Xenopus tropicalis: one gene and its partners. The protein of the gene in region 6 binds, or shares a complex with, the protein of the main gene of each other region. Links are inferred from orthologs where the notes say so. Each region holds a gene or a part of one and is shown on either strand. Other genes may lie near its edges. The genes, in order: b9d2, mks1, cc2d2a, tmem237, tmem17, ahi1 and tmem231.

The links.
Region 1: ahi1 (region 6) and b9d2 share a complex: the UniProt entries of both Homo sapiens proteins name them as parts of the tectonic-like complex. The link is inferred for Xenopus tropicalis from reciprocal best matches to the Homo sapiens genes AHI1 and B9D2.
Region 2: ahi1 (region 6) and mks1 share a complex: the UniProt entries of both Homo sapiens proteins name them as parts of the tectonic-like complex. The link is inferred for Xenopus tropicalis from reciprocal best matches to the Homo sapiens genes AHI1 and MKS1.
Region 3: ahi1 (region 6) and cc2d2a share a complex: the UniProt entries of both Homo sapiens proteins name them as parts of the tectonic-like complex. The link is inferred for Xenopus tropicalis from reciprocal best matches to the Homo sapiens genes AHI1 and CC2D2A.
Region 4: ahi1 (region 6) and tmem237 share a complex: the UniProt entries of both Homo sapiens proteins name them as parts of the tectonic-like complex. The link is inferred for Xenopus tropicalis from reciprocal best matches to the Homo sapiens genes AHI1 and TMEM237.
Region 5: ahi1 (region 6) and tmem17 share a complex: the UniProt entries of both Homo sapiens proteins name them as parts of the tectonic-like complex. The link is inferred for Xenopus tropicalis from reciprocal best matches to the Homo sapiens genes AHI1 and TMEM17.
Region 7: ahi1 (region 6) and tmem231 share a complex: the UniProt entries of both Homo sapiens proteins name them as parts of the tectonic-like complex. The link is inferred for Xenopus tropicalis from reciprocal best matches to the Homo sapiens genes AHI1 and TMEM231.

What each region holds. Positions count from the first base shown.
Region 1 is NC_030684.2:79,325,656-79,329,836, forward strand, and holds the start of b9d2 (B9 domain-containing protein 2), read right to left. Parts: upstream 2,801-4,181; 5' UTR 2,730-2,800; coding exon 2,684-2,729; intron 1,915-2,683; coding exon 1,825-1,914; intron 1,105-1,824; coding exon 979-1,104; intron 803-978; coding exon 486-802; 3' UTR 1-485. UniProt on the Homo sapiens protein: Component of the tectonic-like complex, a complex localized at the transition zone of primary cilia and acting as a barrier that prevents diffusion of transmembrane proteins between the cilia and plasma membranes.
Region 2 is NC_030678.2:41,738,856-41,742,355, forward strand, and holds part of mks1 (Meckel syndrome type 1 protein), read left to right. Parts: coding exon 1-66; intron 67-1,149; coding exon 1,150-1,247; intron 1,248-1,339; coding exon 1,340-1,468; intron 1,469-1,871; coding exon 1,872-1,976; intron 1,977-2,077; coding exon 2,078-2,186; intron 2,187-3,089; coding exon 3,090-3,146; intron 3,147-3,500. UniProt on the Homo sapiens protein: Component of the tectonic-like complex, a complex localized at the transition zone of primary cilia and acting as a barrier that prevents diffusion of transmembrane proteins between the cilia and plasma membranes.
Region 3 is NC_030677.2:27,864,383-27,867,882, forward strand, and holds part of cc2d2a (coiled-coil and C2 domain-containing protein 2A), read left to right. Parts: intron 1-178; coding exon 179-270; intron 271-1,554; coding exon 1,555-1,656; intron 1,657-2,963; coding exon 2,964-3,062; intron 3,063-3,500. UniProt on the Homo sapiens protein: Component of the tectonic-like complex, a complex localized at the transition zone of primary cilia and acting as a barrier that prevents diffusion of transmembrane proteins between the cilia and plasma membranes.
Region 4 is NC_030685.2:53,781,323-53,785,518, reverse strand, and holds the start of tmem237 (transmembrane protein 237), read right to left. Parts: upstream 2,801-4,196; 5' UTR 2,750-2,800; coding exon 2,735-2,749; intron 2,725-2,734; exon of another isoform or gene 2,682-2,724; coding exon of another isoform or gene 2,643-2,681; intron 2,608-2,642; exon of another isoform or gene 2,318-2,607; coding exon of another isoform or gene 2,297-2,317; intron 1-2,296. UniProt on the Homo sapiens protein: Component of the transition zone in primary cilia. Required for ciliogenesis.
Region 5 is NC_030677.2:166,773,736-166,777,726, reverse strand, and holds the start of tmem17 (transmembrane protein 17B), read right to left. Parts: upstream 2,801-3,991; 5' UTR 2,155-2,800; coding exon 2,037-2,154; intron 602-2,036; coding exon 498-601; intron 1-497. UniProt on the Homo sapiens protein: Transmembrane component of the tectonic-like complex, a complex localized at the transition zone of primary cilia and acting as a barrier that prevents diffusion of transmembrane proteins between the cilia and plasma membranes.
Region 6 is NC_030681.2:71,850,707-71,854,918, forward strand, and holds the start of ahi1 (jouberin), read right to left. Parts: upstream 2,801-4,212; 5' UTR 2,620-2,800; exon of another isoform or gene 2,599-2,619; intron 1-2,598. UniProt on the Homo sapiens protein: Involved in vesicle trafficking and required for ciliogenesis, formation of primary non-motile cilium, and recruitment of RAB8A to the basal body of primary cilium.
Region 7 is NC_030680.2:64,234,200-64,236,936, forward strand, and holds the end of tmem231 (transmembrane protein 231), read right to left. Parts: intron 1,589-2,737; coding exon 1,483-1,588; intron 1,269-1,482; coding exon 1,097-1,268; 3' UTR 501-1,096; downstream 1-500. UniProt on the Homo sapiens protein: Transmembrane component of the tectonic-like complex, a complex localized at the transition zone of primary cilia and acting as a barrier that prevents diffusion of transmembrane proteins between the cilia and plasma membranes.

The DNA of each region.
Region 1 (4,181 bases), on a different chromosome or scaffold from region 6:
ACTGATTTAAGATAATCGTCAAAAGAGCCTGAAAAGTATTTAAAAACAAAAACATTCAATTTACTTTATATATAAATGTATTCTGGTAAGTGATTGATGTGAATGAGGTATTATGAAAATGAAAGGAGAGAAAGGGAGTGTGCTTTATAACAGGGCTGAAAACAAAGCAAGGATAGTAAAAAAGTGATACAATGAGGAAAATGGCTAATATCAGAAGTAACAGACAATTTGGGAAAGTGTAAGAGATGTTAGTAGAAGGGGAGGAGGATAAATGTTACCAGATTATGGTACAGAAGAGATATGAAGTATCAGGTTTATTAAGAAGGGTTGAGAAAAGGGGCTCATTAAATACTGAGCAGGATTCTGTTTGAGGTGTTCACAAGTAATTCCATAAAATGTCTTGCTGATTATTTCAGTGCATATGTCCTTGGCACCAAAAATAATCATTTGGAAAACCAGGAACAAGTTCTTAGCACTCTGCAAAATCAAGAACACTCCACCCCGTATCGTTCAAAGTTCCTGAGTATGACCGTTAATTGGAGATGTACTTGCCCCATGGCCACTGTTTGCAGACGGTAGCGATCAGACCCTCCATAAATCAGGCTGGATGACTTAAGTTGTGGGCCGCCGCCAACAAACATCTGACATATTTGCTCCTGCCATGTTCCCAGGGGTCGCCAGGTTGGGCTAAGCAATGAGTGAGTACCAGGGGTGGAAGGGATGTGGAGGAAGCTGTAACCATAAAGTTCATTACGACCAAATGTGTCCTGATGCCAGACTTGAAGGTGAAGTTTTGGCCAACCTAAGTGGGGGAAATACAAGCATTTAAAGTACATAATGTACTTTGCACCTTTGGTAGGTAAAGTGTGTTCATTTGAATGGGTAGGGTTAGGGTTGGGAGCCTGTGCAGGGGCTCCAATGTGATTACAATAATTTTAACAGATTCTTTATTTTATTCTTTATTCTATCATACTTTACCTTGTAATCCTTTAGTAGCAAAGTGCATGTCAATAGGGTGAGACCAGAATGCCATGTCATCATTTTGTGGATGATCTACTTGTGTCTGGCCTTCCACAACCCCAGAAAGTAGCTTCCAGGCTCCACCTAAATGTTATGGTAGGGAACGATGTTATTACAAATAGAAATATCATATGGTTAATAATAGATAGAGCCACACCAGTATCTTATATATCAAGATTTTCTCAAAACATTAACATTTCCTTTAAGACTCTTTTATATTGTTTATGTAAAGTAAAGCCAAAAATGGGCTTTAAGTTATACAAACACAGCCTTCTCCTTCACTTCACATTACTAGAATAAATACAGGGGTCACCTGACGCATATATTTCTTCTTCACATCACAAACTTAAAAATATATTACAGGTATAGGACCCATTATTCAGAATGCTCGGGACCAAGGGTAATTTGGATCTCCATAGCTTAAATCTACTAAAGAATCAATAAAACATTAATTAAACCCTATGGGATTGTTTTGCATCCAATAAGGATTATTTATATCTTAGTTGGGATCAATTACAAGGTATTGTTTTATTACTACAGCGAAAAAGGAAATCTGTTTTAAAATTCTGAATTATTTGATTAAAATGGAGTCTATGGGAGACGGGCATTCCATAATTCAGAACTTTCTGGATAACGGGTTTCCGTATAAGGAATCCCATACCTGTACTAGAATAAAAGTGGGGCCAACTGAATGCATATACCACATTTTCAACAGCGTACAGCTCCACAAAAAAACAAAACTGTGTTTTTTTTATGTACAATTGATATATAGATCCATTTAAAATGCAAAATGATGACTCTTACCTGTGTGTACTCCCCATTTGCAAAACAGGCTGTGTTGGGGGAAGCCACTAGCCCCAATAATTTGCCCTATGATGTGAACCTCTGCCATTACTGTAGGAGGAAAGGTAAAATATATTTCAGTTACATCATTATTGTGAAGAAACTAAATTATAATTTTTATTAGAAGTAGGTCCAACAAACAATAACAGCTAGAAATTACACTTCTTATACCATCTGACGCCAATATAAATATACAAGCCTCAGTGACCAAGTTTTCCTTTTTTTCTTGGCTGTGTGTGCAAAAACTTTCTTTTGTGCCTACTTCCTAAACCTATTTGAGCACTTTTATAAAAACTATGCGCAAGTCTAAAAAAATTCTAAATTATGCCTTTACATACAAAATTCTTTTTGCGCACCACAATTTATTACAGTAAAACTTTATTTTTCATCCCTTACTTAGGTTTTTTTATTTTGTGGTCCCTCCAAAATATAATGATTAATACATTTCAAGGATATGACATCCCCCATTATTTTCTAGTGGCCTCAATAATGTAAAAGGGCGGTTCTAATGCATGTGCCCTGACATCGTAATTTAAATATCCACAAATGCATAGCTTAGAAGGAACATTAGTATTACATATACATTTTATTTATTACCTACTTTTAGCGCAGTGTTATTACTACGTATATTATTAGTATATGTAGCTAACCCCCAGCAATAAGCCCTGTAAGACGTGGCATGTCATAACCAAACTGTTCATTACACATCCAATAAAACCAATTTGAAAGCATAATTTTATTTGTCATTACCGCATAGTGTATTACATATGTAACTAACCAGGTCAATGACCAACATCAAGCAAAAAAAACCTACTTATACCTGCACAAGTTGGGCTGTAATGTAATTCATGAGTGTGGCTATTCATGTACAGTGAATTTCATAACTACATAGAACACTGACAGTGAAGGCACTATAGAATCAACAAATAGAATCCCTAAACTGAGGGCCCTACAGCTTACACTTACAGAATCAGCCAAGAGCCTCTGTTTGTCAACTATCAGCTGCTGGAAAACGTAATACCCCCATTACACTCCCTACACTGGCGCCATTGTGTGTGCTATGAGCATATAAATTACTGACGATACATATTTGGATGATGGTGCAAAATCATCAGGACTCCATACCGACAACCTGCGAATCATATCTACCTTTGCGTATATAACACCGCAGTAGGGTAAGATGTAAGCGCTTTACCAGTTTATTAGCTCTAAATATTTTTCGCCCTCTTTTACATCCCGCTATAAATGCTTCCCCTAACCGCACAACTGCAACATAAATCTCACCGGACCCCCTCTGAAAACCGGCTCCTTGTCTTAGCTTTTTGCCCCTTCTAATTCTCACTTTGGTAGACTCCGCCTGTTGCTGTGCAACCGTTGCATACAGCAGATCTGATTGGTTCACCGGCGGAAGTGACGTCTGTTGTAGGCGAAATGTGTAAACTGATCGAGACTGATAGTCTGTGGGAGACGAAGTATTGGGATTAAACGATAGCTATTAATACTGCAATCTGTGATTTATAATACAACATAGTGTAATGGAACGTTGCTTAAACAGATATAGGGCGTCGTGTCGTGTCGGGTTCTGAGGCATTACGTATACAAGAGACATATTAGCGTCCATTTAAAGTTCAGCAAGTTAGTGGCTGAGGGGGGTGTAATGAGAATTAGCATGGCCATGCTGAAAATGCGTTTGTCTGCTCCCACTTTGTAGTCACACCCCCAAATGTAAAGCCTTTAAACCAAAAAGAACCCAGCTTTTAAAATGCTGGAAACTTTGAATGGCAGCGTCAGACGAAACGCATTCACTTTTATGACAGACATAGTGGCCAAAATATTTAATTACATTTTAAAAGAAGTAGGGAGATACTTGGATACATGAACGCAGAAGAATTTATTTAGGATATCCCTATCTGAAAAGGTGTCGTTGATCCAATTCATGCAAGAAATACATTAGTATTTTTGTTATAAAAGATTGCTAAAGCTGCTTTACTGCAAGACAAGCTGGTAATGAGCCAATTTTTGCGGAACATATGCTGTTATTTTAGTGTCTTTAAAAGATCCTGTCTGTTGCTTCACAAGATAACTGTTTGCCCCATTTTACCCCTTTCTCATTGAGTGATTTATTCTGCATGCTCAGTATGCATTTCTTATCAGATCTCTCCATTTGTCTCTGCCCATTTCCTTGTAAAAGAGCATTCTTTTGAGAGAGTGCACTGTTACTGACAGGTACAGATAGAGACCAAAAGAAAGATAGGGTACTTGAATACATTGCAGTTCACAATACTATTAGTTTGTGCCAGCATGGTTTTATGCGTAAC
Region 2 (3,500 bases), on a different chromosome or scaffold from region 6:
GGGGGGCGTAAAAACAGACGCATCTTCACCTATACGGACCATGATCGCTATACAAACCTAGAAGAGGTACATTGTTCTATAATAATACTTATGATTGTGAAAACATGCTCTGAAAATTAATTAGTCATCCCTTGTTTTTGCTTTATTATTTAAAACTGTTTCGGCTTTTCTTAAATATTGTAAAAAAAAAAATAATATGCTAAGCTAAAGGAATATTTAAAGGAACACTTTTCCCACCGATCTATATCTTGTGTAAACTATGTAGGGATGCACCGTATCGCGGATTCAGTTCGGGATTCAGCCGAATCCTGGCTGTTTTTTAAGGATTTGGTTTCGGCTGGATATGCGGTCCCGGTCGTACCAAATTGCATATGCTAATTAGAATCCGGAAAGGGTTAAATCCACAAAATCCACAGAATCCTGCTGTGCAGGTTTGTGTGTTCGTAGGTTCGGCCAAACCCAAAAAAGTGGGTTCGGTGCATCCCTAAAACTAAGAATGCAGCTTCTAGATGCATATGCTAAGCTCAGTTTTTCACATAGCAGTATATGCTGGTCACAAAAGTTGGCACAGGAATTAACGAAACCCTGCCACTTAAAATGACCAAACATTTAACAAAACATTTGTAATGTGGCCCCCTTTTGCTCCAGTTTTACTTTGACCTGTTTCGTTTGGATTTTTTGTGCCACTCTACTTTACAGATACTTTACATTTCAATTAAAAAAATAATCTCATGGTTTCTCATGTAAGCTTCAGGCAGTCCGCTATTTGGGTGCTAGCATAGTTAGTAAGATGGCCGTTAACTGGATTTCACATATAAAGTATATGAACTAAGTTAACTGAATTGAGGAACATATGTTTGAGTAGATTATTTACTTCATCACTAAAAATCAACCTAAAATCTGCCTAGGGTTATATACTAAGTAAGAACACTGCATCTTTCAGAATTTTTTACCAGCCACACATGATGGATGTTAGATATTTGCAACAGCTGGATTACTAAATATTGAACAGCCTTTCTCTTATTCCCCTCCCCATAATTTTTTTTTCATCCTCTTATGTTCCTTGAAATTGTTTTGATTACGCCACCATATCTATAAAAGTATAAAGATACTTCTACAGAACAATTAAAAGTTTCATTCTTTCTATAGCACAGCCAATCAGTGACAACTTCTCTAGATGAAACACCCACTTTCTTGGTAGAACGAATGGCAAATGTAAGAAGAAGACGGCAAGACAAAAGGCAGATGTAAGTGTCAGTGCTCATATTATTCTGTGTTTAGTACTATACACTCCATTGCTTTGGAGATATTTCTGATGAAATGTATTGTTTTCTGCCAGTGATGGAGTTGGGATGTGGCATCGTTTTATTACCTGGAAGCCTTCAGATGATTTTATCAGAAGTAATCACATTATTAACACTCCAGTACAGACAATGTACATAATGGCAGACCTAGGACCAGGTGGAAAGTGAGTGAGCCTTACCAACCTTACTAAATGCAATGTAAATGAATTAATTTTCTGTACACAGATTTACATTTTCTGCTATGATTTACATTCTATGAAGCATGTTTCCTTTGCACAGGCAAAGTTGCATATACCCTAGTAAATATTTAGTTTCTTAATTGTAAGTAAGCTATTTCAGTGGGCTTATTAATGCAAATTCTGAGAAAATTTTGCAGCTAAATGACTATCTTTTGATTAAATAATCTTAAGGGCACCTGTATAAATCTACCTCTGTATCTGGAGGGCTAGATGGTATGGGAAGCTGCAACTGGTTATTCAGTTCTGTTTAGTTTTTCCCATCATGCAAATAATTTTCAGTGATGGTCACCACAGTTATTTTACTGCTGTATCTATGTATATATTCCAGCCTTGGATTGAGGGAACATGAACATGTCCTATGTACTGTTCGTGTGGATGCAAATGGTGTGATCACGCTGAAACCTGATGTTACTGGCACAAAGGGACCTTACAGGTAAATACAGCCATGGGAATAGTATAAAACCACAATAAATTCTATTGCAGCAAAGCCAACTTCTCATTACTTTCAAATACTGTTCCCTTCCCCTGAAATAGGCTCGAGGTGGAAGGAGAAAAGCGGCAGCTGTGGAGATATACTTTGCAGCACGTGTCTGAATCTGTTCAGAAGGAAGAGCAGGAAAGGGAACAACATATCTACAAGGATGTAAGCAAAACCATGCTAGTGCTAGGGAAATTGGAATATCAAAAATATTTAAACTCGGTGCTTTTCAGCAAGATTTAAGTTAATATCGAGAGTATCCGTGTGGGAAAAGGGTCTCGAGTTTCTTCTTTCAAAATCATTTTGGTAAATTCATGAAGGGATATTTCAACTTAAAATTAACTTCAAGGGGCAGATTTATGATTGCTTGAGCCTTTTGGTTTCAGGTATAAAACTTGTTTGTAAATAAGTTCGGCAGGTATATCAGATTTAGATCACCGAATAGTCACCCACTCCTGCAAATATAGACAGGGACTAATTAACTAACATAGGTGCTAAATTCTAATTGCTAATTGGTTGTTACTGTGCAGATGCAGTTTAGCACCTATGTTAGTAAATCAGCCTCAGACATGGTTGGCCAGATCTCAGACACTAGGTTGTTGATTATAAATTAATCAAATGATCGATTTATTCAAAGTCACAGATAGTGACCAAAAAATGCGTGTTTGGTATCTGAGTTGTACAGCCCCCCATTTGTCAGGATAACATAAAAATGAGCAGGGATTTTAAAATAAATTTCCTATCCACCAGTCAGTACATCAGAGTCACAGAGTGATGTTGCATGCCAAGGTTAATGCAAATATGTTAAACTTTTGAGGCACTACAAAATGCTTGACCCTTTCAAAAACAGTTTATAGTCCTTTCAGCTAGCACTGAGCTGTAATTGTCCTAGGGATTTCTGTCCCCTAAAATATTCTCTACCTTGTGCCAGAAGAATTAATCAAGTGCTCTGTGTTATTTTGGAAATGCACCCCATAATGCTTTTAACCATTCTGTAAATAAATTAAGTTGCTTTCCCAGTGTGTGTATAGAAATTTGCTAATTGATATCTTTATGGCAATATTTTAGTTATACAGCCGACATAAAGAATATTTGAACAGTTTGGTGGGCTCTGACTTTGAAATGGTAAGTTTTTATTATACTGTTTTTTTTCTTTTTATTTAGAAAGCGCTGGCTTTCATGGGTCTAAAGTAATTTACTACTTGGCAATTATAGGCGTCAAACTTTCATATTTGCTAAATTCAAATTGCTAATTGGTTGTTACTTCTTTCTTATTTATGCTGTTGGCATATGGATAGAAAATTAGAAGAAGGATTGTGAACATAGGGTGGTCAGTGATGCATTCTCAACCTGGTGTAGTGTTTTTAGTGGGGTGCAGCAAGGTTCTGTATTGGGTCCACTTTTATTTAAGTTGTGCTTGAATATCTTGTTATGGGCAAGGGCACATGGGTCGGATTGTCAGCCTGCAAATAAGTGCAG
Region 3 (3,500 bases), on a different chromosome or scaffold from region 6:
TTTTAAATCTGTTTTTTATTGATCCCCAGATATAGGGGAGCATCTTCCCTACATAAATCTAAACAGAGCCAAAACACAAGAATCCTTAGGAAATACACATATACAATATTTTGCTTTAAAAAAAATAGAAAAGTCGGTGACTTGAATTTGATGCCTTTTTTAATATAAATGTTTTCAGGCCTTCCACCTTTAGCGGCTTCCACACCAGTGCCCAGTGCTGCTGAAGCTTCCATGAGAGAGCGGCTCAGAGAAAGACTGAAAGCTGCAAGGGTATGTATCTAAAAAATGTTTTTCTTGTATTGCTTTAGAGAATTAGTCTGAACACTCCTTGCAAAACTGATTTAAATCTTGTGGATTCATTTAAGGTCCTGTAGGAAAGTTCTTTGCCAGTGATTTCTTAGTTTCTAGTTAAAATGAAATAGAAGCTGACCTTTTTTTGCCCAAGCGATTGCAAACTGAGCGGCAGTCTACTGAAGTGCAGGTGCTACTTCAGATCACAGGTTCTGTGCCTTATTATGACTATAAGCTTGCCCAGTGTTCTTTCTAAAGGGCCACTGCTGCCAGTCCATATAGGGCAGGCATCCCCAACCTTTTATACCTGTGAGCAACATTTAAATGAAAAAAGTGTTGGGGAGCAACACAAGCATGAAAAAAGTTCCTGAGGTGCCAAGTAAGAGCTATAATTGGCTATTTGGCAGCCCCTATGTGGAGGCTCTATTTGGCAGCACACTATGTTTTTATGCAGCCAAAACTTGCCTCCAAACCAGGAATTTAAAAATAAGTAGCTGATTTCAGGCCACTGAAAGTAACATCCAAGTGGTTGGTGAGCAACATGTTGCTCACGAGCCACTGGTTGGGGATCACTGACATAGGGGCTTCCAAATAGCCAATATGTGACACCAGGAACATTTTTCATGCTTATGTTTCTCCCCAACTCTTTTTACATTTGAATGTGACCACAGGTATAAAACATTGGGGATCCCTGTACTAGGCAATACATGTACTGATAATATATATGGTATCTCTGAAAGCCTGTAACAAAGCTTAGGGAATTATCCCTGCTATGGTGAGTGTGATTTTGCAAGTCATGCATTAGTGCATTTATATACCCCTGCTTTGCTCAGTCACACCCCTTTCTGTTCTATTTTAATTGGATTTTACAATATTAGCGGATCTATGGGAAGTGATAAGGAAGATTGTGGACTTTCCACCCAGAGAGACAATTGCTTAGGCACGGCAAGAAGTGGAATTATTCTGGAAATGAAGCAAAAATGAAATTACATATATATGCGGCATTTAACATTTCCATGAGTCAAATTCAGTGGCCCTATTTCATTTGTCTTAGTGATGGTGCCCATGAAGGATGGAATCTTAGCTGACAGCAGAATATGCAAGGAATGCTTTTTCCATGTTTGGTACACTCCTTGAGCAAAATACCTTTTTGTCAAACACTTGAATTATATTTTTGCATCTTAATCGTGTGCTAGAGAAACTTCTTGCTTGAGGCTATAAAGGATATACCATAATCTCTGATCCTTTCTTTTCTATGGCAAGTCTAAGGCAGAAAGTACTCTACAGGATGAGTCCCCAGTTGTTTCGCCCCAAAGATTACCTAAGTCTAAACATGCAGATTCATTCAGAAGGTTTAATGAAGAGGTGAGTGCATTTTCATTTGCCTTGCTTATATGATTGTATTAGAGTCCTGTTTCTTAACCTTGGGTCCACAGATATTTCTGAACTACAATGGCTAATATTCTTTAACTTTTAATAAGGTTTAAAGGACAAGTTAGACACCTCCAGCCAATACAGTCACTTTATTTTTAACACAGATTGACGCTCCCTTTTTTTGTGAAAAAAAAGCTTGCTCAGGGTTTTTCCCTGCTGTGCATTGTGCTGCTATCTTCAGTCATTTCCCAGCAATCCCTTTAGTTTGCCATGGACTGTGTGCATGCGCAGTATAGTACAATTTTTTTATTTTATTACCCTGTGCATGTCGCAATTTTTGATGGCATGATTCTGAGTGTGTGAACAGTTCAGGACAGCCACAAGTGACTAGCAATGGCAGCACTGAGTCAGAAAAGTACCCTGGTCAGGGGCCCCGTTCCTGTAACGGTGGCCGTACACAGGCCAATTTCAGCTGCCTATATCAGTCTTTTATACCGATTCGGCAGCTTATCTGCCTGTGTATGGGCACCAAGGACGGGCCTTCCCGACTGAAATCCGGCCAAAAATCGAGCAGATCTCGATCAAGATTGTTTTTTCTTTTTCTGTCGGATAGGGGACCGCATCGGCTCGTTGATGCGGTCTCCGAACTGATGTTGCGTGTGCCTGCTGTTTAATTTGATTGTTTGGCCCTAGGGAGAAGCTCAGCTCGCTTATTGACCTTGCCAAATGAGTGGATCTTACAGTGTATGGCCACCTTAAGTGTCTTACCCATCTGCGGTAAAAAGTTAGAGATTATACTCATTTGACTGGGTAGCAGGTTTTGTACTAAAACTAGGGTGACCAGTTAACTTGTAAATCCAGGGACATGTCTAAATAAATAAATGTTGCAGGGTAGAACTGATTGCATTTGAATTAAGATGGAATCATTTTAGCCCTGCTAGCTGGATTTTCTAGACGTGTCCCTGAATTTTCAAGTGATCTCGTTACCCTAACTATAACTCAAGCATAGCAGTTTTTGACAATATACTCTCTGTTTATAACCTAGAAACATCTAATGGTATAAATACTGAAAAGCTGAACCAGCGCAGTGAAGTATTTTTACAATGGCAATTGTATCATTTATGTTTTGTAGATCTTGTATATCTTTAGAAATAGCAAAGTAATATTCTTTTGTATTAATTTTTATTTTTGCAGGCCTTTGAGAATGTTTTTTATTGCATATTATTTTAATTTTTTTTCTTTGTTTAACTTCTTAGTTTTATTATTTATTAATTTTTTTTTTTTTTTTATTACTCCAGGATTCCTTTCAACTGGACAGGGTTAGAGAAGCTGAGACTGAGTTGACATCAAGGGTCAGATTTCGAGAGGCTGTAAAGACTGTACAGAAAAAGTCCCAGGTATGAATATCTGTTTAGAATTTTGATGTCAATAAAACAAAATTGGGAGCAACCCAAAAGGTCTTCTTAAAATTCTTTTGTACATTTTACCCAGCGGAAGTGGCATAATGGTCAACGATAGTGGTATAGTAGTATCCGTGCTTCTAAAATCCCCCAGAAATGAACAGAGAGTAAGTGAGTGTTTCTGTAGTGAGCTCTAATTTCACCCATTGATAAATCTGCCCCTTAGTGTCCTTTCACAGCATTAAGGGGATTCCTTAATTTAATTAAATTTAGATTTTTGATGTCAATTTAATTTTTAAAAATTACATTTAATTTTTGATGCCTTTTGATAGAGTTGGGTTGTTTTCTGCCACTTCAGCGTTCTCAGGCAGGACTTTTATATCTCCCATACTACTCAGGCAAAACATAAAAAGAATTCAAGGCATCAGACTAGTA
Region 4 (4,196 bases), on a different chromosome or scaffold from region 6:
TCATTTCAACAATTCTGCAAAAAGCTAACAGAATTTTCCAGAATTTCAGGAGAAGTTTAACATATGTGATAAAAATCTAGCTGCTATGAAAACACCAGGGAATTTTTAGGATCGCCTAATTAGTTGGTTGGTTTCTTCCAACTAATTATCCAAGATTTTTTCAGACATGTTGTCACCACGTGGATAACCAAATGTCCCATGTGCCATCAGCCTTAAACTCTGCAAAGCCAAGGAAGCAGCCCTACTGACCACCCTCCTAGAAGTTTTTTTTTAAAATCTGTCACTCTCTCAGTGAGTTCAATGAGCAAATACAGGTATAGGACACGTTATCCAGAAATCAGTTATCCAAAAAGCTCCAAATAGCAGGAAGGTCATCTCCCAAAGAGTCCATTATAATCAAATAATTAATTTTTTTAAAAATGAATTTCTTTTTCTCTTTAATAATATAACAGTACCTTGTACTTGATCATAACCGAGTTGCATGAATCCACATTGGTGCCAGAACAATTCTATTGGGTTTATTTAATATTTAAATTGTTAGCAGATGTTAGATGTTATGGCAGGGAAGTCATGCAAGAAATGCAATTTTCAGAAAACACTAAAAACGTTAAAAAATAAAACCAGAAATATTTTGGAAAAAGTAATTCTTTGATGTACTTTGTGAAAAACAATGGGAAATGTAATAAAACACTCAAAGTTTGCTACTAGTTTAATCAACCAATCAGCATTTACAGGTCATCCTGGCAAACTTTGTCCCTTTTATTATATATTTGGCCAATAAGATTTGTTAGAGTGAATTTTTAGATGGGGCCAAACTGAAAGAGATGAAAAATTCCCTCTGGGTAAAAAAGGCCTGTGTGACCCTAAGTGGTAGTTCACCTTTAAGTTAACTTTTAGGGGCTGATTTACTAACCCACGAATCCGACCCGAATTGGAAAAGTTCCGACTTGAAAACGAACATTTTGCGACTTTTTCGTATGTTTTGCGATTTTTTCGGCGTCTTTACGAATTTTTCGTTACCAATACGATTTTTGCGTAAAAACGCGAGTTTTTCGTAGCCTTTACGAAAGTTGCGTAAAATCTTGCGATTTTTCCGTAGCGTTAAAACTTGTGCAAAAAGTTGCGCTTTTTTTGTAGCGTTAAAACTTACGCGAAACTTCGCACCTTTTAAGTTTTACCGCTACGAAAAAGGCGCAACTTTTCGCGTAAGTTTTAACGCTACGGAAAAAGCGCAAGATTTTACGCAACTTTCGTAAAGGCTACGAAAAACTCGCGTTTTTACGCAAAAATCGTATTGGTAACGAAAAATTCGTAAAGACGCCGAAAAAATCGCAAAAAATACGAAAAAATCGCAAAATACCGATCTTTACGAAAAAAACGCAATCGGACTCATTTCGACCCGTTCGTGGGTTAGTAAATGTGCCCCTTAGTATTTTACAGAACATACTATTCTTGGCAACTTTGCATTTGGTCTTCATTATTATTATTATTTTACTTATTTGCCTTCCTCTTTTACATCTTTCCAGCTGTCAAATAGGGGTCACTGATCCCTGCAGCCAAAAATAAATTGGCCTTTACATCTCTTACATCTTTTTTATTGTGGTTACTTTTTATTCCATATCTTTCTGTTCAGGCCCCCCTTCTAATTAGTATATGCTAATTAGGATTCGGCAGAATCCGTCAGGGTGGGTTTGGGGGAACCCAAAAAAGTGGGTTCGGCGCATCCCTAACTTATATTCAAGGGGGTGGGGGGGACGCACCAGGGCAGGGGGCCTGGTGCGTTTGCTACTCTGCGCTGGGCCCTTTGAAGTTTCTTTTTTTTACAGGGTGGCCCAGTGCAGTGTAGTTATGCCACTGATTCATATTCAAGGCTCTCATTCAAACCCCTGTCTGGTTGCTAAGGTAAATAAAACCCTAGCAACCACATAGCTGCTGAAATTCCAAGATGGAGAGCTGCTGTACAAATAAAAATGAAAACCAACTGCCACAATTACCAATCTTACAATATCAATGTCTACATTAAACAGAGAGTTAAAGTTAAATAACATCAATAAATAACTGAATATGAACTTTACTGCTTTAATAAAAATCAGTATTCTTATATTGAACTTTATAGTACATTTCTATTTATAAATTAGATGGTAACAATGAACTGGTACAATCACATAAAAATCACTAACTTAATATCAAATTCACATGAAATTATGAAGGCTTGCATCCATCAGATAGTAAGAATGTTCTATAAGGTTCTCATCTGCCAAATAACATTCCTTTCCTAAAGCATTAAGGTACTTACCACTTGCTTCTTCCCCATCATCAAAAGTCAGTGCACATACAGGCAGATACTAGGCAGTTCCTTTACACAACACATAGATCCTCTTATTCCTTACACAAAAATAATCTGTAGATAAACTCTGGGATTACAAAGGTTAGAACCTTCTGCCCTTCAGCTACAGGTCAGTGCTTTTATACGCCCACGTGAATTAATCCCTAAACCCTTTATTTTCCTACATGTAGGCACATTTCCCTACCGAACCATACCATTTTAACTGCATATATATCCCCCCCACCTTTGCCAAAGCAAACATATTTTCATATTTAAAACAAAGAGCAGCTTTCAGCTGGCGGCCATTTTCACCAACCTCATCATCAGTGATGCTTACATGTGCAGAGTCCCTCATTCCCTGAAAAGTTTATGCAAACAAGAATGTAGTGTTACACAGGCAGAACTTACTTTTACGCTGTCCATTTTAGGACATATATGTGCTTAATGGATAAGCTCCATGCTCCCTGAGGTCGGGCAAAAGAATGTTTCTGGAGCAGGGAAGGCTACCGAAGAGTTTCCATGGAAACACAGAATGCTATCTCTTTATTGGCTGCCAGACTGGAAGGGGCGCGTTTAAAAAGCCAAGTAGCTCTGATTCACTGCCTTTCACTGAGCTCTAGCTTTGAAGTGCGCATGCGTTTGTAGCACTAAGGGAGGGGCCGAGTGGCTTGGGGTGAGGAAGTGAGGGCGTGCGGCAGCCTTATTATTAAATATTTGTTTCTGTAAAGCTGTATGTTTGCGTAATTGCTATCACAGTTCTTTCCTTAGCAGCTAGGGTTGGGGTAATGGTGCAAGTTGATATTTGTCTCCAATGGTTCAATCTGCACAACCACGGGCGACAAATCTCCCAGAATTGGCTTGCCATAGTATCGGGATCGGACTGATGGACCGCCCAAAGAGAGGGGAAATTGCCTCTATTTGCATAAACTTAATGGCTGCAAGTAATATGTTAAGGCAAGTCATTTTGGGGAGATTTGTCATGTACAGTAGCACAGGCTGGCCTTATGCTTTTATATGGGTCATGGAACTCTGGCCTGGGAATTTCCAATACACAGAGGCCCAAACAACCCCCACCAGCCCACAAAAATAGTGACCATCTTACACAAAGCTATCAATCCTCCCATTTGTTCTGGAGTAACCAGATTGTGGTGGCTCTCTCCTGGTCTCCTATTCGCCTTGTCCCCCCAGCCATCCCCCAATATTCTCCTGATTCTGCCCAAATATACCGAAGTCCGGTGGCGAATACTGGGCGTGCATGTACAGTAATTGTTTGGTGACATCATTTGATGCATGTGTGCAGGTAGAATTTTTTGGCTTCGCCGGGGATTTTGTGCATGTGTGTGATGTCACTTCCAGAAGTCTGTCGCACATGTGACGTTATTTCCACGTTTTGGGAACAAAAAATTGCAGCCCCCCACGGACTGCACCCGTCAAAAGTTGACAGCTCTGCTTATAGCAGCCCCTCTGGCATTTTCAGAATCTACAGGTTGCCAGTGTGAATCTAATATTCTCATATTTTACAACAAGGGGGGAGGTACATTATTCCTTATATCACCAGCATATTACACATTTACTGGAATTACAGGTACATTTAAAATAATGGACCAGTCTTGGCAGTTTTTTTTTTTTTGTACAGCACAACTGAATATACTAACGTTTTATAAACACTAGTTAATAATGATACTTAATGGCTGGTAAGGCCTTAGCTTAAGACTGCAGTGCTTTTTTTGGCACCAGTTAGAAGAACTAATGAGCTGGAAATAATACAGAGAGGTGCAACTAAATTGGTAAAAGCAATGGAACAATTGAATAATTGGAAACAACCAAAGGCCTCCTTTTAGACTTGAGAAACTGAAATTCACCTACAGTA
Region 5 (3,991 bases), on a different chromosome or scaffold from region 6:
CCAAAAAGAAATGAATGAGATGGAGAAATATAATTGATAAAAAATGTCTGTTCTATTATCATAATACTGTATGTCCATTATTTTCTTTTGATTCTTTTATTTCTAATTATATATCAAAGAACCAGTGAAGATACATTTTTTTAACCAGGGAAAACCTATAACATTTTTAATCTGTTCTGGACGTTATGGACTCTTTATATTTTATAATGTGACTTTACCTTCTCTGTTCTCTTTTCCTATTTAACAAATAGCACAGAGCACCTCTGATGATCCTGAATATAAATGGGTAAAGCTCTTTTGTTTTAATTGACACTACAAAACACTTATGCCTGTAATAATACAAGCAATCCGCTTAGTGATCCCCCTCTGCTAACTGTTTGGAAAATGCAGCAAGAAGTCAAATTTGAATCTGAATCAATTTGCCCCCATAGCTTGTGTGTATGGCTACAGGGCTACTAGATATCTTCATATTAGAAGAACATAATAAAACACTTTACCTTGAGTTCCATGGTAATGATCTCTGATATAATCCAGAAAGGAAAAAAGAAAGCATTGAAATATAACATCATCTGTAGTGGAAGGCTTGACAGTAGGTCATGGCCTAAAACAAAGGAAAATATACAGATATTTTATTTTCAGCCCATTGACCATTTGCAAACATTTTTGCCTTGTTAAGACTGAAGCTTTGAGAGCAGAACTTTGCAGCATCAAATCAATATCAAGTAACAACATTTGTGCTTTAAATGTCCTTTTTTCTGTTATTGTGCAGTATTTCATAAGAATACATTTTAGTACATTTATTTGTATAAATACCATTTGTATATGCTGAAATCCAGCTGCAAAATAGTTCTTCAGGTGCTGCATCATTTGAAATACTGTCAGGGAAGGAAGTACTAAAACATTGATGTTACAAATTGTAACAACTCCTCTACAACTTATAGGCAGCATGCAGGAACTATATAACCCACAATGCATTGTACTGTAAACAGGGGCAGCAGAAGCGCAAAAATCAGCTCCTGGTAACTTTAAGAGCCGAATTTCCGGTTTTTAAACCGGAAATTCGGCTCTTCTAGTGCAGAGAGCGCAATTGCGCTCTCTGCACTAGCGATCTCACTGCCCCCGGACCCGCTCCTGCGCTCAGAAGGTAAGCGCTGGGGAGCGGGGGGGGGGCGGCATCCAGGAGCCACCTCAGGCGGCGATATGTCCAGAATCGCCCCTGACTGTGATGTTCCTTTCTTTATTGACATTATGTGCAGTGGATTCTGGGACTTGGAGGATGCAGGTTGAAGGCAGGCTGAGGACAGTCGACTACTGTTACATTTTATTTGAGTTGTCAAAGTAGACAGCCAGATCAGCAGGACAACAGGGAACAGGCTTAGGTAACTGTTCCAAAGGCTTAGGTAACTGTTCCATATGTTTTTAATTGCTATATATTGCAACATTGCTTAAAATTATGTTTACATTTCAAAAAGCTTAGGGTGAAGTCCCCTTTAATCTTGCAGACTGCAGTTGTGAATAGCTTCGGAAAACTGCCCTCTCCTTCCCAGCTTATTGGGATAAAGCAGATTGGCTTTTCACAGATGGAGACCTAAATGTGCCTGTCTCCATAGAATGCCAGAGATGATAATAGCTTCAGAAGCTGGGTGTAAAAGAAACAAACTTTGATGTGCCTATTAATAATATAAACATTAAAAAATAGGACAATTACCTGTATTGTATTAAATTTTGTATAAAGAATTGTCCTTTGTCAAGTACAATCTATTCATTAGGAAGAACAAATTAACAAGTATTTATAAAGCACCAACCTATACTTCAGCACTGCAATATATGGGTGTGTACATCAAACCTACATGTTACATACAGATACAAACAAATCATAATAATGACTCTGCTTGGAGTCATTGCATGGATTTAAACTTACAACTGTAACTGTAAAAAGATGGCTACTTCTGGGCTATGCTTTGAGCCTTACTTCAGATTGCAAAATCTGGCAGCACAAAACATATCACTTATTCCTGAGTTACAAGGCACAATACCTGACTGATATGCATGTTGTTCTCCACAGTCTCTGGTCTTATTTTGAATGAAGAGAGATCCACTAATTCTGGCAAGTCCATGCCGTACGCTGCCAGGCAGTGGAGTAAGAAGAGCCATCACCACTGCTTAGCAGATGCTAACTCTGTCTTTCTATAGAGATCAGACAGGATTACTGTCATCCTTGCATGTTGATTAAAATGTTTCAATGGGATTTGCAACAGGCTGCTTTACTAAAGGATTATTTTAATCAGAACCTGAAGAGAGCTAATTTGGTACAATCCTGCTGTGCAGTATTTTTTCCAATGTATATTAAACTTTCCTATCCTCCACTGGTTTGTAATCTAACTTTTTGCACCATATTGCTTGTCTAGAGAAAATAGTCACAATTTACAATATAAACTCAAGCTTTCTCCTACTGTAATATTATTATGTTCATTGTTGAATGTTTAACCAATTTTTCCAAATTGTGGCATCAAAATTGGCCACCACTAACCCCATTATTGCCAGTGGAATCACATCTCAATTGAATATTTTAGAATATTGTTTTTTTGCTGGAGAAAATGCCCGAGTATTACCTAGACCTACAGTTTAGAAGATTATATATCAAAAAATAGTGTCAGTGAATATGCAACCTGGGTTCTGGATGTTGCTGTGTTCAGAAGAATGATGGGTTGTGTAATTGGGTTGTCAGTCCACAAATAAAATTCCATGTTCCTTCTTTGGTAAAGATCTTTAAAAGATCATAATTCTTACTCAATATGGAGTGTGTTTGGAAAAGAACAGCTCCTGCCTATGGAAGCAACTACTGATTAGGCATTTGGGGACAAAGGATTTTCTGATTCCATGCCTGCAAGGAAATAATAAGAAGCACCCGTTGAACTAACTACAAATGTAACCCTCAACCCTCTTATACTGTACATTTGTTTTGAGTTTACTGGTCATCCACAAGGTTGCCCCTTGTAAGCTATTCCTCAAACAAATAAGCTGGCCTCAAGAAAATTAGGAGAGAGTTGCGACTGCAATGACCAACTGGCCTATGGGAAGCATGGTTGGACTGGATTTTCTGAGCAGTCAGGCACTCATCTTCTAGAATCAGAGGATGGCCTATTGTAACTTGCAAGCCAAAAGCAGCTTAAATGCTGTGCAAGCATGCTGTATATTCACAACATTTGTATACGCTACAATGTACAACATTGTTTTATAATAATAACATCAAATCCAAAAAAGAAGATATTGCAGCAATATTAAAACAGACCAGTGTTGTCCAAATAAAATTATAATGTTTTTACTGCACAAACCTTAGGGTTATGCAATTGGGATAATATTTGTAAAAACCTAAATAGATACACCATGGGGACTTGTTGTGCAACAAAGGTGTATGTGGTACAACATTACTATACATTGACTTTGTAGTTAGTGTACTTTTATACTGACTTGTGGTTACATAAAGTAATGGAGGAAACATGAGCCTTTCAGTGGGCTCCATTGCTTACAAATACGACATCATGAGATGACACAACAGATTTGACACATTTGTTTACTTTCTTTTGGTGGAGGGCTTCACCTATGTGCAGTCCTAACTAAAATCATTGCATTTTTAAATAGATGTAGTATATTGATCACTTTTTTCTCTTTTTTAATTCATACCTTCCCTTTATATTGAAAGACACAAGCATAGATAGGTACAAGATGCAAACATATTTGTGTCTGTTTCCTCCATGAATGGACTCCTGATAAAAACTGATTATGGTGTCGGTGAATGAAAGCATTATATCCTGTTCTGGCATTTCTTATAAAAGGTTGAAAAGAGGCCAGAATGTTGCAGAACATATTTACACACACATTTGACATGTGCATTTGGCTAACTTTTTACTACAGCACAGAATGTGGAGGTACATAGGGTTACTACCTTTTCTGAAACAAAACTGACCTTCCTATATTGTTAGCATTTTTT
Region 6 (4,212 bases):
TCAGCTTAAAATACAATATTAGTGTAGGCCACAAGTTTACTTCATGAAATGTGAGTATAATAAGTAGAAAAATGACAGAAAGAATCAAGTCCTGGGAAAAAAAAACACTGAAGGCGTCCTAAAGTATGTGGTATCACTGAAGGTTGTGATAGATGTTTCTTCTTTCAGTCCTCAGTTTATCAATAGTCTCAAATATCTATTTTCTGCAAGTCCCATATCTTAAATAAAGGCTATCACACTATCTCTGTGGACAGCGATAAAATACACTTTCTGTCACAGGGGCCAACAAGCAGATCATACATTAAAGGAGAAGGAAACGTAAAAACTAAGTAAGCTTTATCAGAAAGGTCTATGTAAATACACCCATAAGCACTCACAGAAACGCGAGTCCTCTATCAAAAGAAACACAGGATTTCTTGTCTCCTTTTTTGTAAACATGTTCTTCAGGTATCGGACTTCCTCTCTTAAGCAAACTGAGAAATCTTCAAGGGCTCTTTACTCAGGTATGGTAATGCTTTCTGCGGAATCTATTGGCAGTAAAATGCCAAAATGACTTTCACTCTCCTTTAAACCTAGGGAGGCTTTTTGAAGGAGGATTGCATCAACTTGCTGATGCATGCAGGATATTCAAACCTCTCTGACAGATACTGGGCTAATTTTTGGTCACAGCAGGCCCTTTCATAGTAACATAGTAACATAGTAACACAGTAAGTTGGGTTGAAAAAAGACATATGTCCATCAAGTTCAACCATAATGCCTATATATAACCTGCCTAACTACTAGTTGATCCAGAGGAAGGCAAAAAACCCCATCTGAAGCCTCTCTAATTTGCCGCAGAGGGGAAAAAATTCCTTCCTGACTCCAAGATGGCAATCGGACCAGTCGACACACAAGCTGCAGAATGAGTCCAGAGGGGCAACGTTGGCACCTTTAATAGCCCCCATATAACAGCCCTAATGCGCTGAGTGGCAGCCATCATAGCACCACAGCTTGTTTAGAAAAACATTACATTTGAAACTAAAAACACAGAATTTCCCACCACTGGGTAAGAGAACTCAGCACTGTAGTTAGATTTATATTTTTTGTGCATACTTCTAGTGCATTTGATATAAGGTTAATTCACCAGAGAAGGAAAATTAGAGTTACAGTACCACCAGACCTCCACCTGTTGTGGACTACTAAATTCAGATACAAGCTGATGCCTACTGTAACAATGCGCACAGTAACATCCCGATGCGGGACAGTCCCTATTTCAACAGCTCAGACCGGATTCTTACTGAAAAGTCCCTCATTTCACTTTCATCTCCTGCACTGAATGCTAAAAAAGATACAATGTTTCTGAAACTTAATTAAACAAGCAGCTTTTGGCAGAGAGCCCAGAAAAGTTAACAAGCAACACGAGCACTTAGATACAATTGTAACTAATAAGCTAAACAGTAGTGATGTGCAGGTCTACTATTTGTCAACCCACACCCGACCCTAACCCGTCCCTTCTCCACCGGCACCTGACCTGGCCTGCAGCTTCATGTCTATTTACAGATTTTCAGAATGTAAGCTCTTGCGAGCAGGGCCCTCCCCCTAGTGTCTCCGATCCTCATCCAATGTAACTGCAAACCATTTTTGTGTATTGTTTATATATACATGTTAACTGTTATGTCTTTTGTACCACTCTATTCTGTAAAGCAATGCGTAAATTGATGGTGCTATATAAATACTAATAATAGACCTGATCCCACCCCACCAATGACATTACTGAGGGAGTGGGCATGGCACGCGCCTATAAATAGACGCTGCCAGATCCGGTATTGGGGCTCCGTTAGGCTGCAGGCGGGGAGGAAAGCAGAAGGGCTTGACCCAACCAAAACCTGCTTTTGATGTTGCACTGCCAGCCCGAATCAGTGGGTAAACCCGCACATCACTACTAAATAGGTCTCTTGGGGGGAACTGAGACATACAGCTTAAAGGGCAATTTCACATTTTTAAGCAAAACTGTAATAACAAATAAAACATGACCCCCAAACCCCCCAAAAATTGTTCAAATTTTAAATAACCTGCCAAATATGGTAAAAATGGGAGTGGTATTTAGGGGGTGTGGTCACAAAAACGGGCGTGGTCAAAAAATTGCAATATGCACTGCATTTCTTTTTGTCCCTCTTTAGATTTTTCAAATACTGGGAGGTGTGCTTGGAGTCATTTCGCTATAGGATTACAGATGTCACCACCAGTGTTCCAGGGAACCGGTTTATGGTAAAACATTATCAGTCACTTGATCCTTCCTGGATTCAATCCCCCAGCCACCAATCACTATTATCATGGTACTCTGCAAAGATAAACAGTCTTCAATCTGCAGCCTCAGATCATAACACAGTATGACCAAAAAGCTAACAGAACAAAATAAAAAACAATTTAATCAAAATCAGGATAGTAGTGCACATGTTAGCAGTAGGCAAATTTGCACAATCACAGTCATTAATAACTAATTAGCTATTGTCATAGTGCGCCGCAGCGTCTACGGCAGGTCAAATAATACAATTAATACATATTACAAATGGGTACAGCTGTATTTTTTTTAATAACTTTAGAAAAACAAAATCATACTGTAGAAATGTTCTCATTTACCACATCTGCACGTCAAGGTATTGCATTCCGCCCAATAGTCCCGCTTTTTCTCAACGCAGCCCGCAGCCTCGGGTCGCAGCTTAAATGTCCCGCAACACTGTTTACGTCCTGCTCCTTGACTACCTCAGAACAGCTAATCCCCAATTCTCATCTCGCGAGAATGCGGCGTCACAACTACACGTACTAGGGACGCACCATTCAGTGGTTTTAGGGACAGTAGAGCGACGCGCGTTGGTGTGAGGGTTGGCGCAGCAGGGCGCTTGTCTGCTCGCATATTACTTTCGCTGTGCTGTCAGGGAGCTCCTACTTTTGTCAGGGATTCAAAAATAAATACTTTTTATTGCACAATTTAGGGTAAGAAAAAATGAATTTAGGAGAAAATGGGTGAAAATAGCCATAGTAATCAATAATTAAGCTCTTTTACCATTGTGGCGTCAGAGAGTCCCAGAAATATTTCACAATTTTAGGACAACTAGGGCTGATTTAGGAATAGGTAATTAAACTGGGATTTTGGCATTTTGTCCCTTGTTTAAGAGGGCATTGCTTTTCACAGTTTAGGGGGAAAAAAAAGTTATACTTTGTTGAGATCCCCATCACCATGAAAGCTTCATTTGTATGGAAATTTAATGAACTCTTATTATTACAGAAACAAACTAGAACGGAAATATCTGTTTCTATATCAGATACAATTTCGTTTAATAACCTCACTAAAACAGACCCCTCCACACTATGACCCCTAACACTGAAGGTAGTAACAGGTAACCTAAAAGCACTCAGCACAAAAATGAAAAAACAGAATAACGCTAATATACAAATACTAATGCAAGAAATTCACAATTTAGAGAGCAAACACAAGACAACACTGGCCAACAAAATACAAACCGAGTTAGAAACTGAAAGAATTCAGCTAAACACCTACTAGACTAGTTCACCGAAAAAGCATATTTAAAATGTAAAAGAGAATACTACGGCAAATATTATATATAAAAAATTGGCAAATAAACCATCTAAAATCCTATCCAGACTAATAAAAACGCAGAAAAACAAAACTTTTATCACACAAATTAAAGATTCAAAGCAAAAACTTAATCATACCTACCCAGATATAGCAAAATGTTTTAAGGAATTTTACCAGACCCTATACAATCTAAACCCAGGGACCCACAACCAAAACAAAACGCTAAAAAAAGAGCAATACCTAAAAAAGTTAGACCTCCCCAAAATCAAACCATATACAATCACAACTAGAAGCACCATTCTCAATAGAAGAAATAACAAAAGTAATTAATTATCTACCATCCAACAAGAGCCCGGGACTAGATGGTTATAGCGCAGGTTTCTATAAAGAATTCAACAACAAATAATCCCCATATTATTAAAACATTTTAACTCAATATCAGACAAGAACGCAAATTACTGTTTTGCATAAACCTAACAAAGACCCAGCAGTATGCTGCAGTTATAGGCCCATTTCACTTCAATCTGGACCAAAAACCATATGCCAAAATGATCGCCAGCAGGCTACAAATCATCACCGCTTTACTAATCCACCCTGAACAAACAGGGTTTGTGAAAGGCAGAGAGGTCAAAGAT
Region 7 (2,737 bases), on a different chromosome or scaffold from region 6:
GATAAAGCTTACTTAGTTTTTATCTTTCCTTCTCCTTTAAAGGGGACCTGTCATCGTAAGAAATAATTCCAAATTATTTTCTATCAGATTAGTCAAGCATAATAAACTTTACTTACACAATATAATTATTGTAATTAATTATTTAATTATTTAAATCCTGTTTCCTTCAGTCTTTACACAGTCTTTACACAACTACAGCAAGCAGCCAGGTGCTATTTTAGTAAGGAAAGCTTCGCTTCAACAACAAAATCTTGTTTATGTGCCAGAATGGGGGACCTGATGCCCATGCCCATGCACTGGCTACACAGTTAGATGGTGAGGAGGGAGGGGGAAAGTGATGAGGGTGGCAGTGACATCTACGAAGTGCTGAATGGAAAGTGAAAGTAATTGTCTGCCCCACCTCTATGCCTAATACAATATATGATTTACAGCTGGAATTTTTAAATGCCTTTATAATGGGTTTGGATGTGTTAATAAAAAAAGGAATTTGGATTTTATGTTTCATTTTAACAGGACTTTTATTATACAGCTTTTTATGTTTGGGTGACAGGTCCCCTTTAATAAAAATGAAATATTCAGTTAATAATAACTGAAATATTTGGGAAGACTGAGATATTTTGCAAAACAATTTCTAGCTTCCACAAAAAAATGACTAGGAGCGAAGAAATTTAAGATGGAGTGGTACCAGTAGTATACGGCAATCCAATGTACTGCCAGTGCCACTGGATTTTTAAACCAACACTCTCTTCAGAAAGAAGGAAATATTACCAAAGGAAGTACATTTAGGTTCATTTTTCCAAGAAGATATTATTAAAACATAGCATTAAATGTATGGGCTGTTGAGGCAAGCTTTCACCTCTTGCTTAATTACAACCCTTAGAATTCGCTTAGTGTTATTTGCATGTTTTGTGGGAGTTGAAGTTTATCAGTAACACGTCTGAAATTCCTGCTGTAATAATTCCAACATAGCAAATAGGTTTCCTCTCATGTTCCTGAAAATCCACTTCTTTATCACAGTAAAGAAAGAGAAGTTATTAGAAGTCTTAAGGCCTCAAAAGGCATACCCAAGATCCAGTTTATCATATGGGGTTGGTTATCAGCTCTGATGACTTTTATACAATGATGGTATTGGGCCTGGTACTGTAGTCAAAACTTGATTTTGAAAAACAAATATTTTAATTCTCTCAAATACCCAAAGGAAAATGAGAAGGATACTGACATACTGAATCCATGCATATTTTAGCATTTCCCAGAATCCAGGCACATATGTGGATAATGTTAAGGAATCTTCAAAAGGGACATGTGGCACTAATATTGAAAACAGTAAACAAAATCCCAGGAAATAGAAATCAGAAATAGCCCAAGCACCGGATATAAAAGTAATAGTTTTCTTAATACTTGTAGGCATATGAAATACTCTAGAAGCTGTGCATATGCACAAAGAATTATACTTTTCAAACTTGTACAAGAGTTAAAGGATATGATATTGATTCCACGGGATACCGGATAACAGCTTTTATTACAAATGGATCAGAAGCAGCTCTCCCAACAATCCACAGGGGGTTTGGGGCATTCAGAACTGTGGTCACTGCAACCAGATAACATTAAAAAGTTAACAAACACAAAAAGATGCCTAATACTTTAAGGTAAATAATAACAACTATAATAATGCATAAAATATAAAAATATCTCACAAATCTCTCACAAAACAAACAAATCTGTTGCCAAAAATGATGTTGCCGAAATTTATGTCTATTCTGTATACATACACACAAACACTACAAATATAATGAATATATATATATATATTTTTTTTTATTATTATAACGTTTAATTATGTTTCACATTTGACATACAGCCCCTTTTCTACCCTTTTGTGTTCAAAGCCTCAGGGTTACAACTGTCCTTGTCCACCATACTCTAAGCACTGACCATTTAGCATTGGCTCCCATAATACAGAGCAGTTTAAGATTTCCCGTTAGGCTTGCAAACTCTTCCATTTAAACCAGCACACATATTTATTATCTTACAGTGAATGGTTCGTCAGCAGCTAAGAACAGTTAATGTGCCATTCAGCATGGTAGGGGTCATTTACAACTGCTAGTACAGCAGCAATGCCGCTAATTTCCTTGCAGTAAGTTGCATGAGAAAATTGGGTAAGAAGGTACTTGCTTAGAAAGGTACTTTTTGCACTTCCATATGTTGCTTGGCACTGCTCAATTCTTCCTGCCCAAATCAATTGGCACAGACAGTTATGCCAAAATAGGTGGCACATGTCACTCACACATGCCAAACATTATGGAATATAAATTGTGTGTGGGTGATGTGTTCAACAGTGTTTATGTTCATCTAAAATCTGATCAGTATATACCCTAGTGCTTTTAATGTCCAGTGGATTGGGCAACTTCATAAAAATGTATAGCTATAGATTTTAATATATTTCACATACATTCATTCTCCCAAAAGGCCACACATATACAGTAGTGCATTGTCCATCAAGGAGCAAATAAACTACTAGACAGGGCAAGAGGGATACGTGCTCTAAGCTACTAGTATTAAACATATGAAATCTATTATTTTTAATGCTTAACTTCTGAGATTATCTAGATAAAAGGTCTTTTAATAAAATTAAGCACCATGCTTTAAGAAAGGAATGAGAGAGACATTTATGCTAGCTTATTTAACATCAATTACTAGCAACTGTCATAATTTTAGAGAGAAAAAGTAAATACGTTAC